2 linked regions of the Callithrix jacchus genome follow. The protein of the gene in region 1 purifies or fractionates together with the protein of each later gene. This does not show direct contact. Links are inferred from orthologs where the notes say so. Each region holds a gene or a part of one and is shown on either strand. Other genes may lie near its edges.

Region 1 (5,972 bases):
ACCTCAGGGGGAAAAAACTTGAAAAAAATTTTAGTTAATAACTTTAAGAATATTCTCCAACCATATGGTGAGGACTTCAAATCTAGGCAGAAGTTCAGGTAAAAAATCAAGTTTAACATTAATTATAACATTTATTATAAAGCAGTCATTGAAGGAAGTTTTATCCAGCAATTGTGTGTATCTGTGTGTATGTGAAATGGCCTTTAATTACCTAGTGTCTAGTGTGCTGTAAGAAACACAGTAAGAGGATTCCGAGGAGAGTAGATGTTTGATTACTAAAGAATAAAAATAGGTAGCGATTCACCAATTTACTGGATAGGCAGATAATTTTTTAACAATAATATCTAAACTAGCTTCAAATTTCACCCAGCTTTTTTCATAACTCCGGATCAATTTTTCTGCCCTGATTCTAATCGTTTTAACATAGATTTTGGGCAAATATTTATATTCTGCATGACCAAGAACTCCAATGATCTGAGTAAGTGGCGTTTAGTGATCTTGGTTCCACAAGCCCCACCCCCCCCAATCTTTACTGCCACCTGTCCATACATTTGAGCGCGAGTGCACACACGCACACACACACACACACACACACACACACACACATACACAGCATTTACCCCAAAAGAGTCGAAGGTTCAAAGCCCAAACACACCCATGTCCCATGGAATGAAGGGTACCTAAACACGGAAAAGAATTTCTGGCTAGGTCAGGATAGGACAATTGCTGGACTGGAATTCGAATCTTTTTCGTTTCACAGTCTTCCCGGGCGCTAAGCTAGGAGTCTTCCTCCGTGGAAAAAACTAGCGCTTTTTCATCCCAATGTCCTTCTGGTCTCCTTGTTACACTTCCTTCCTTCCCACCTCAGTTTCCCTGGCTCTGCGGGGGCACACACCAACTCCGCTCCTCCTCTCAACCTTCAAACTTATTTAGAGGGTACCGAAGTTTCCGCGCAAATTTTGCGCGCAGTTCCCACGTGCCTGCTTCAAGTCTTCAACTTTCCCTATTCTCTTTCTCCCGGCATCTGTCTGAACTTTTGCGTCTGCGCTTCCAGGCAGCGAACCGTAGGGACAAAGCGGAGCTGTGAAAGGGGGTGGAATGATCGTCTCTACCCCGAAACTGACAGGTTGCCCCACTCCCGCCCCCTCCCGGTAGATCTTCCCCCACTGAGCCTTCATTAGCATAAAACTGGTCTGGCTGGGGACCCGTCCCGCCGCCGTCTCCGTGCGCGCGCTTTGCTGGGCTGGGGAAGCCAAGGCACAGAGTAGCAGGCCCGCTGAGCATCTCAGTGTAAGTGTGCACCTGATCGCTGCGTAAGCTACTACCCTTTAAGAAAAGAAAAGAGAGAGAAATATAGAAAGAAAACACTTTGGAGAGAAAGAGACAGAGATCGAGAGACAGCGCGCTTCCGTCGCTTTCCTTCCCAATCTCTCCAGTTCAGCTTCCATTGAGTCTCGGGCACTCGGTCACCTCCCCCTACCGAGGAAAACCTGCTGGTGCCCTCGCATCTGCCCCGGGGCCACCGAATCCCCTTATTTCCTTTGCACACTCGCTCACACGCAGACACAGGCACACATGCGCGAACACACAGACCCCTCCCCTCGGCGGGCTTCCCCTCCAGACTTCGTAGCTCAACTCCCCGGAGCTCAACCCCCCGGGAAGGTCCGGATCTCTCAGCCTCGCCGGTCGTTTCCCTCCCGACCTCAAAGTGCCCTCCTCTGCTGCAGGCGGGCTCCCTCGCCTTTCCCAGCGGGCCCCTCACCCGGAGCACGTCTCCCCGCTCCCCAAGCCCTGCGGGGCAGGTCACGACCTCTCCCCGCCCCCAGGACGCCGCTCGGCGCCACCGACCAGCCCCATCGGTGCCGGGAGGCTGGCGAAGGAGCCCAGGCCATGGGGAGCGCACGAAAGCCGGCCGTAGCTCCGAGAGGTGTCCCCAGGCACCCGCGCGCCCGGGGCAGGGGGCTGTGGCTGCAGGAAAGGCGCCGTCTTTCTCCCTCTAGTCCCCTCCGCCCTGAGGCTAAGAGTTCCCGCGTCCCACTACAGCTCATCCCCGGGACGCAGCGGGCAAGGGGGCGGACCGGGCCCAAGACCGAGGTCTGGGTAGGGTGAGGTGCCAACTTCTCAGGGGGTTGGGCGCGGCGGGTGAGCCCCGAGCAGGGAGAGGAGAGGGCCGCGCTCGCATGGGCACGCGACTCGCGGGCGCGCGGAGCGAGCGGCGCCGGGAAGGGAGCGAGGGTATGGCGAGCAGGCGGGTGGGAAGGGGCTCGGGTGGCGGAGGCTACCCCCCGCTACTCACCTTGCGTTGGTGCAGTCATTGTAGAGGGTCTCGAAGTCCTTCCTGGAGATGAGTTTGCAGCGGTTCACTCCGGGCTGGATGGCGCCCAGTCCCCTCAGGATGCGAACCTGTTCCACATTGCACACCACCGGCGTGATCTCCAGCCGCTTCAGCTTGGTGTAGACTGTGTGCAAGCCCCCCACCAAGTGCTTCAGGAACAGGTCGAAAGCCTGGGGCAGGCAGATCAGCTCGCAGCCCTCCACCGTGAAGGAAGCCACTTTGGCCCCCCTCAGATCCACCATTTTGCACTCATTATTCTGGGGGGTGTTTTCCACTGGGGACGGGGTTGAGTACACGGGTTTCCCGGGGAGGGGGCCGCAGCTGCTGCTGCTGCTGCTGCTGCTGCTGCTGCTACTGCTACTGCTGCTGCTGCTGCTACTGCTGCTGCTGCTGCTGCTGCCGGTGCTCGCGTTGATGGGGGTGCTGGAGGCGACGCCGCCGCTAGCGCTGATGCTGCCGCCGCCGCCGCCGCTGGTGTTGCTCGCGGCCGCCAGGCTGGGGTTGCAGTTGCTGCCACCGCCGCCTCCATTGCCGCCGCTGCCGCCGCCGCCTCCACTGCCTCCGCCGCCGCCACCGCCGGTAGAAGTGACTGTGGCCGCCGCTGCCGCCGAAGCGATGGGCTCCGGGCGGAACAGAGTTGGCCCAGAGGACGCCGGGGGTCCGATGGAAGGAGCCGGAGACGAAGTCGCCGAAGAGGTGGAGGTGGTGGTGCCAGAGGAGGAAGCAGACGTGGAGATTGGGGGTTGAGGGGGGACCAGCTGGGTCGGAGGGATCAAAGCCGCCGGCACTGCCATGGTCACATATAAGGGGAAGCAGACGGAGGAGAAGCGAGGGGAAAAGTTGCCACACACCCCGGGAGGGGAAGGGGAAAAAAGGGGGGAGAAGGAGCGAGGGGGGCAACAACAACAACTCCAGGAGAGAACGAGAAGGAGAAAGGGAGAGAAGGGGGAGAAAAGGAGGTGAAGGTGATAAAGAGCGAGCGCAGGAGGGGCGAGCACGAGAGGCGCTCTGGAGAGAAACGCACAAAAGTGTCCCGCAAGTCGAAATGCGAGTCCTCTCCGGGGGCTGGGATGGAGGGCTGGTTTGGGGGGGTGGGGGCGGGGGCGGGGAGGGTCGGCTGTTGTTGTGTGGGTCCCGCTCTAGCACAAAGTTAAGGATGAAGGTGAAAAGGAGGAGGTTTGAAGGACTTGGGCTCTCCCTGGCAAGTACATTGATCAAAGATTGAGAGGCGAATGACAGAGAGAAAATGAGCTGAAAAGTGCAGGCTGCCGGCTGGACGAGTTGTTGTTGTCACACGGTGCAGAGGGGAGGAGCTCCGGAAACTTGAAATACCCTTTGAAGCCGCAAAAACCTCACTCACTAGTATTAACCCAAATTATCCAACCAGGAACTCGGAGCAGAGACTCCGAGAGCGCGAGACACTGGAGAGGGAGCGTGCGAGGAAAGGAGGAGGGGAGGGGGAGGATAAAGAAAGAAACTGTGGGAGGAACGGAGAGGAAAAGCCGGGGACGCAGAAGTGGCGATCGGAAAAGGAGAGGGAGATCTTCCACTTCTCTTCTATACTACCGTTAGATTGCATGTCTCACATTGCATTTCGTCCGCGGCGACTGGTAATTTTTTCCAAAGCTTCTAAACAATCGCCTGCCAACTTAAAGACGAGCCAGAGCGCCCCGAGCTTGCTCCTTCAAGGATTTAGGATCCATCTCCAGGCGTTTTGGCAATGAGATAGAAAGGAAAACAGCCCCCACTTCATGATTATTCAGAAACTATTTTGAGGAAAATTCACATGTAAGCAAAGCGTAATATTCTTTTGCATCTGATTGTTTTATTTCTCTACTAAATCATTTATTTATATAAAGGTAGTGAAAATTCCAGGGCAATTTTCAAGTGGTGGGAAGTCAGTCAGAAATCGCTTAAGAATAATGGAAAGCTGTATTCAATTCCCTATTTCTTAATATGCTGTGGAAAGAAATGCTTGTCCTGATGTGCATGATTTAGAATAACTTCACTGTCGCCCCAAAAGCAAGTCAGAAATACCGCTTATACTTAGAGAGATCAAGGAGATAAGGCATCCTTGAAGATTTAGAAAGTGGAAAAAGGCTTTTCTTACTCAAAACTCTATAATTAATTCACCTGTCTTACACAGTAACCAACTATCCTCATTGTCCTTTAAGACCCAAGGCCAGTGGTTAATGTGTTTTTTGGACAACACAATAGTTTTGTTTTTTGTTTTTTTTTTCCATGTTTGAAAAGTGCTGCTGTAGTTTTGCAAAGTCCTTTCCAATTTGTCAATAATAGATGTTTTGTAAATAATGAGAACAAAAACAGCTCACTAGTTGACTTGTAAAGACTTCGGTAGCTGTGCTTAAAAAAACGTGAGGCTGAGTTTAGACTGACTCTTCCTCCTTTCCTTTTCTTCTGTTTTCTAACTTGTTGCATCGAGCTATTTATTCAAGGATTTTTGACTCACATATGATTTGAACATAGGTCAAATCTATTTGCTGCTCATATCTTCAAGTATCTTCACTTACTTAGGCTTGGAACTGGTCTACGCATGTTCAGTAAGTTCTTAAGATGTGAAGCAATGCTTTAGCATTTGACGGATTTTTAAAATAAACTATTAGTAGCAGGTTCAGAATGTTGGGAAATTTTAAAACAAAATTTTCGCCATTCTGGTGTTGAAATGATCACATTTCTCTTTACCATTTTAATCCTTTGAACTCTGACTTGTAGTGTCAAAAAGTGCAGGAACTGTTTACCAAGAAATAGAAATATGACACTATGGACTAATTAGTGTACAATTATGCTAAACATTTTGGGACATAGCAGTTAAATCAGGAGGCTTTCCTGGGAGATAAAACTTCAGAAAGTCGATTGTTGCAGAAAAGTCCATAAACTTCTTCAAGGACTGCTGAAGTTTACACAATTGTTTGGCCTGGTTAATCAATGTATTTTAATATATTCAGAAATAATTTTATTAATATTTTAGTTTTCAAATTTATCAGGTAAAAGTAGGAATTCAATATATGTCACGAACACCAAAACACTTCTGTAAGTTTTTTGCTTGTTTTAAAATATATTACTTTATTAAGACATGCCAAATTACTATGTTAATGAGGGGAAGGGAGGAAGAAAGTATTAAGCCCTGAAAAGCTCATTTTATTTTGGAATTTCACGCCCAACTTTAATAAATTTCAATATGGTTTTAAAAGACTAAACTATTAGTTTCACTATGGAAAAATGGGCATCTACCATTACCATTCTCATTTTTTTTACATTTCCTTAAACTATCACTCACCCAATACCTGCCACATTCAGAAGCCACAGACAGGAGGCAATGATAGCAGACCAAGCCATAATCCCATCTTGCTTCGAAGCAAACTCCAAATTTTCTACTACAAGGAAACCTTTGCCTCTAAGCACGTGCTCCACTCAGATACAGGGCTTAGAGACATTTGCCCCTACCTGAATGAGAGCTCTCCAGCCTTCCTTCCCCTGACCTCAGGTCTCAAAATCAGTTCCAGGAACCACCACTTACTCCTTTGATCAAACAATAGGATTAGAAAAGGCATATAGCACAAATTAAAATACGTAGGAAAGAAAAGCCTTAAAAAATTTGAAGGTTTTTATCTCTTTT
Region 2 (6,166 bases), on another chromosome or scaffold:
ACAGAATTTAAGTTTCTCGTTTCCCAGAGCTGGGGTTTGATTTACACATGTAATCATTGTGTTGGTGTTCATGTTTTCTCTTGCGAATCTTTACCATAGTATTGGATTACTGTCTTTTGAGACTGATTCTCTAATTATTTAAACAAGGTTATTTTAGAAACAAATTAAGAAATAAACTATAGACAGATCTAAAATGCTAAACTGCTAGTTTCCTTAGACATAGGTGTTTATTTGGGGGTGAGGGGTGGTAGTAGAGAGAGAGACAGAGATGGAGAAAGGGCAGGGGGATTAATGAAATTGGGAAACTGTTTCATCCAGATCACCACTTCTAGTTTGACTTTCCCTAAATATTTTGCTTCTTAACTTACGAGTCACACTTCAGATTGCAGCAATGTTAACCTCAGCAACTGAAAAGAAATGCTTCAGTATGTAACTTGGGAAGAAAAAAGTAGTAAAGGGAAGCAATTCAAGATCGTTATTGGTATTTGAATACATTTATTGTGACAAGAATGCTGTTATAAATATTCATAAGCAAAGGCCATCTTTTTTATCTAGGAATTGTCAAAGAGAAGATTCCAAATTGGAAGGATACATTTTTTGTAAAATCTGCCACCTATTCTGGCTTTGAGAATAAGCATCTATTGTTAAATTTCTACTAACATTATAAATGGTCACAGCACATGCCACTTGATACAATCTCAAACTTTGAAATGTTTGAGTTCCCAGTGGGCCGTCCCTCTTCACTGCAACCCCCCAACCCGTTCTTCCAGCCTCCTGAAACATCGAACCATCCTTTGGTAAGCAATTCCATATAGACAGCTGGGGGAAGAGTATATAACCTGACCATAGCATCAGGTACATTTATTTCTAAAGTCTAATAGAGAACAGTTTTTACTGCTTGATAGTAAGAAGCACTGAGAGAGATTTTAATTGACATTCTTAACTTTCAACTCCACTTAGATAGCTAGTATCTATAGATGATGCAGAAAAGAGGTTAGGGGAGTACTTTTCAATAGTTTATTGCATTTTCTTAAATATCCTTTCTGGAATTTTCAGAAACAAAACATAAAAAAATTATATACTTTATTACAAATGGTAAACTCAGAGTGCTCCAAATCTCTTATTTACAAACAACACTGGGCAGGACACCCAAACAAACAAACAAGAAATAACTTACAAAGGCATGAAGCTGTTTATTGACAGTAATCAGCTTTCATCAAATTAAAAAAAATATATATGTACATACACAGTTAACGAAGGCAGGCCAGAAAGAGTTCATCTGCAGGCTCAGCCTCGCTCTCACAAACCTCCCTCCAGCCGCCCCTCCCCAACCCTCCCCCCCACGCTTTGTGTTCTTAAGGAGTACTACAGAAGCAATCTACAGTCTCTATTGCAGTTTGTAACCCCCTCCCCCTCCCCCCTTTAATACTGAATGAGATCGAATGTTAGGTCCATGCAGTTCTTGGTCAATGTTAACGAAAAGTCTAACGTTCCGTTCGCGCGGGGACAGCCCATCCGCAAAGCCGGGCAGCCCGCAGACGGCCGCTCCCTGGCTCCACGCCAAGGGAGTGCGCGCCAAGTCCTTCCCACTCGTGCACACTGGGGGCGCCGTCAGGACGCAACCCAGTCCAACTTGGATACCCTTGGCTTTAGTTCTCGGACACTTCTTTTTCCTCTCCGCTGCAACTTGTCAAGTTCTCAAGTCTGTCTCTGTTATTTTTTTCTCCGTTGCCCCTCAGTCCCCGACAGTCTCTCTTCAAAACGTTTGCAACTGCTGCGTTAGCATGAGTTGGCACCCACTGTTAACGTGGTTCATGACTTTCTGTTTAAGCTGTGCCACCTGTTCCCTGAGCATGTTGGCCGTGGACGCCAGCTCCGAGTTCTGAGCTTTCAAGGTTTTCACTTTTTCCTCCAGCCGGGCGATTCTCTCCAGCTTCCTTTTTCGGCACTTGGAGGCAGCGATGCGGTTCCTCATGCGCTTCCTCTCTGCCTTGATCCGCTCCTGGGACTCCATGTCGATGGGGGACAGGGGCGGCGTCTCGCCGGGCATCTCGGGCACTGTCTGAGGCTCCTCCTTCAGGGCCTGCAGTCGCGGGTGCTGCACCGGCATCTGCTGGGGCAAGTGGTGGGGCGGCTGCGGCGGCTGCTGCTGCTGCTGGGGTTGCGCGGGAAAGGCCAGGCCGGCCGCGCCGTAGGAGGGCGCCCCGCCGCCGCTGCTCAGCGCTCCGGGGTTGAAGTTGCTGAGGTTGGCGTAGACCGGCGGCTCGCTGTGCAGGCTGGCGCTGAAGCCGCCGCTGCCACTGCCCCCCGCCACCGAGGCCACCGCGGGAGCCACCATGCCCGCCCCGCTGACCGGCTGCGCCGCCGACGTGACGCTGGGATGTGTGTTCTGGCTGTGCAGCTCGGCCAGGGCGCGCACGAAACCCTCGGCGAAGCCCTCCTGCTCGTCTGTCACGTTCTTGGGGCACAAGAACTGGGTGGGGGTCGGCGTGGTGGTAATGTGCCCATTGCTGGACTGGATGATGAGGCGCTCCAGCTCGGGAGACGCCAGCTTGAGCAGCCCCACGTCGGGCGAGGTGAGGAGGTCCGAGTTCTTGGCGCGAAGGTGCGGCTTCAGGCTCCCCACTGGGTCGGCCAGGTTCAGGGTCATACTCTGTTTCAGGATCTTGGGGTTACTGTAGCCATAAGCTCCGCTCTCGGACTGGAGGAACGAGGCGTTGAGGGCATCGTCATAGAAGGTCGTTTCCATCTTTGCAGTCATAGAACAGTCCGTCACTTCACGTGAGGTTAGTTTGGGCTGCGCGCAGAAGTTTCGGGGCCGCAACAGCGCTCTGGCAAGCGGGGTACACCCGCGTCCCCCCGGGCCTTTGGCGGGGAAAGTTTCTCTAAGAGCGTGCGCGCCTGCTGGCAGTCGTCCCCGCTGCGCCCTACTCACCAACTCGCTCCTGGGAGCGCAGGGTTAATTAAGATGCCTCCCGCACTCTTACTTGTTGGCTCGCGCGCGCTGCCCGGCTTTGAAAAGTCGCGGTCACTCACTGAGCGATCTTCGGTCGCAGCGGTTCCTCGGAGCCCGCGGGCGAACTCACTTCCAGGAGCGGCGGTTCTCCCAGAGGCGCGGATCAGTGCGGACCCCGCAGTGGCCAGCCGGCGGCGGGTCTCGGCCGCCCGGACTCCGACGACTTGTCCCCTCCTCCGCTGCGAGGGGGAGGGGGCGCCCGGCAGCCGCGGCTTGCGCTCGCCCAAGTTCAGCAACCAGTGCGAGCGAAGCTGAGCGCACGTCCTTCTCTCGCGCGTCTCTCCAACGCCTTTTGGTCTTTACCGCCGTCGAGCAGCCTAAGGCGCAGGAAAGGCTTGCAAAAGTTCGCTCCGGGACTCTGGGCCACTTGGCCCGGGTCCTCCCAGCCGGGAAAGTTCTTTGCCGCTGCAGCCGCTCGCCGACGTCCCCCGGCGGGCGCGTGGGTACCGCTGCTCTCCGCCGCTGTCAGCAGCGCTTGGGCAGCGGGGTTCTTCTCCCGGGGGCGGCTGGAGACCAGGCTCTCCCCGCACTCCTCGAAACACCAGCCCCGGAGCCACAGGCGCTAGCTCTGGGCAGTTGGAGAGAAGATGGAAAAGAAAAGATTTGCAGCTCGGACTCTACTGCAGTCCTGGCTGTCTGGCTGTGTCTGTCTGTCTGCCTGAGACCGCGCACCTCCACTCCCGCCTTGCTGCTTCAGCCACACTCAGTGCAACTCTGAGCCCTTATCCAGCCCGAGCTCAACACTTATCTGCTACCAGTCAACCCCTAAAAATAGCCCATGATGTCACCCCAAGGCTTTCCCATTGGCTCGCGTCGCTCTCAGGGGGGCGGGCCCGCCCGTCGCCATGGAGACTCCACCCTAGAAGATTCTTCTCTAGGCCCGCGGAGGCTCACGGGATGAGGTAATGCTCCGTTGCCCTCCTACAGTCGGTCCCTTCTTTCTCCTCCCCTCCCCCTGCCGCACGCCTCTCGGCCCTCTCTTCCCTGGTCTCCTCCCCCGGCCGTTTTTGCTGGCCCGCCCGGTGCATTGTGGGCTGACGTCTTGGGGTTTGACTGTCTAGTGACGGTGGCTGCCGCGAGCGGGCGGACGCTCGCAACGTCTCTGGGGTGGGGGGGGGCGCTCAAGTTCACGGCTCCGGACAGGGATGCAGAGATGCAGGGGATAAGGGGACGCGGGAGGCCAGGGAACCCGGCCAGTTGTTGGGGGCCAAGGGTGCGGGCGAGGGGTGGTTGGGGTTTCTCCACTTGTGGGGCTCGAAGTCATCCGCCGGCGTCTGCCACCGCGCGGGGCAGGAGGCTGAGAATCCAAGTCTGTGGCCCCCCCCGCGCACTTCCGGGGGCGGGAGCACCGCCCTTAAGGTGGCTCTGTGAAGTCCCAGTTGGGGGCGAGCCTAAGGGCGCTTAAGTTTGGGGGCGGTCTCGCGAGAGTCGGCCCCCCAAGTTGAGAACGCTCGGAACTTTGTCTTGGTCTAGTTCAGGAGCGATGGTCCGCGGGGTCGTCTGGCTGCTCATAGAAGCCGAGAAATTTGTATTGCCCGAAACTGAACGCTCAGCTGAGTCTCCGTTGCACCTCTCTTCATCCTCCGGGGACGCGGGGGTTCATAGCTTTGCCTTGGAGGGGCAGTTTTTATAGTGAGAGCAATTAGTGGGTAACAGGGTCCAGATGGGAACAAGCATGTAGGCAATCCGAAACTTGGGGAAGCCCGGTGTTAGTATACTCCCCCTCCCGCCCCCGGACAACACGCACACGCTTAACACAGCACGCTCAACACACAGGCGCGCGCGCGCACACACACACACACACACACACACACTCCATCTGCGCCGTGTTGCTTCCGGGAAAACAAGCCCAGAAGGCGGCGGACGCTCGCATAAAGTCACGCAGTAGAACTCGGAGCCCGGGATAGAACCTGGACTTCAAATCTCTGCACTCCGGGCCGGGTTGTGGGCCCATATCCTGGGTAGCCTCTAGGAAGCGCTAGACACATGTAAGTGGTTCCTTTTCCGCGGTTGTTATTTTATCTCCCCACCACCCCCCCCGCCCCCACTCCTTAGGGACGAAAGTGTGTGGTGGAAAGAATCTTGAAGTCGGGAATCCTGGTTCTTTCGTGGCCAGGCTGCCACAGTGCGGAACGAGGAAATCATGGAACTTCTCTGAGCTTCATGTCCCTCATCTGCCGGTGGGGCCGATGCAGTATACCTCCCTGGGCTGCCAGGAGTTAGTGTGACAGGGTCGCCTACAGGACTAGGGAGGTGGTGGCCAAACAGCCCGCTTCCCTCCCCTGCCTCGCAGTTTCCATCCTCACAGAAGTCTAAACGGAATGCCAGGATATAAGAGTGCGATTTGGCAGGACCAGGTGTACTTTCCTGTGAGAAGCATCAGGGGGAGGAGGAGGGGGGAACAGGGTTAGAAGTCAGCTCTTTCCCAGGCCTCTGTCTAGAACTGGGGCTTGAAGTTGGACCTGCAGCAGTTTAAAGTTCTTAGGTTCTAAATTCGGACTTCACTGCTTCTGAACTTGGAATTCAGCCTTGGGTTCATTGCCCCCAGCCCTAAGGTATTTGCGGCTTTGAGTGTTCAGAAACCAACAGCAGCTGGTATCAGTGGGAAACCTGCCAACTTTTCTTCGCTCCGGGCACTCACCTAGCTTTCAGTGATCTGCAGAGGGTAACTGAAAGCCTACTGTGAGCCAGGCACTGAACTGGGGAGGGGGTGGGGTAGGTATACAGTGATAGCAAGATCCAGTTACTTCCCTCAAGGGGAGAACATTCTCCTTCTGTCTGTTGCTCTGAATCATTTTCTGTTGTAATAAGGGAGCTGTTGTTCTAAATTTTTTTATAACAGTAATAAAAGTAAGTTTCATGTATTAAACACTTATCTGCCAGGCATTCTCCTAAGCAATTTAAATATGCTGTTTTCTCCCCACAGCCGTCTTGAGAGACATATATTTTTATCCGGATTTGACATGTGAGGAAATAGGCCCAGAGAGGTTAAGTATCCTTGTTCAGGTCACACAGGCAGCTGGAAATTGACCTCAGGTCTGTGTTACATTCCCTTGTATTTTCTCTACTCTGGTAAACTTTCTTGTGAAGTATTAGTTATCTGCAGAGGAAATAGCGCTTGTGGCACAGAAGAAATTTTTTTTCTTTATC

The links.
Region 2: the proteins of DACH1 (region 1) and JUN purify together in Homo sapiens (affinity purification with western blotting; 3 studies listed by BioGRID and IntAct, with this or other methods). This does not show direct contact. The link is inferred for Callithrix jacchus from reciprocal best matches to the Homo sapiens genes DACH1 and JUN.

What each region holds. Positions count from the first base shown.
Region 1 is NC_133502.1:43,444,108-43,450,079, reverse strand, and holds the start of DACH1 (dachshund homolog 1), read right to left. Parts: upstream 3,570-5,972; 5' UTR 3,130-3,569; coding exon 2,297-3,129; intron 1,291-2,296; exon of another isoform or gene 1,200-1,290; intron 1-1,199. UniProt on the Homo sapiens protein: Transcription factor that is involved in regulation of organogenesis. Seems to be a regulator of SIX1, SIX6 and probably SIX5.
Region 2 is NC_133508.1:95,863,017-95,869,182, forward strand, and holds JUN (transcription factor Jun), read right to left. Parts: upstream 3,733-6,166; 5' UTR 2,762-3,732; coding exon 1,757-2,761; 3' UTR 479-1,756; downstream 1-478. Other genes in the region: uncharacterized protein LOC128928178, read left to right, coding at 5,003-5,004. UniProt on the Homo sapiens protein: Transcription factor that recognizes and binds to the AP-1 consensus motif 5'-TGA[GC]TCA-3'.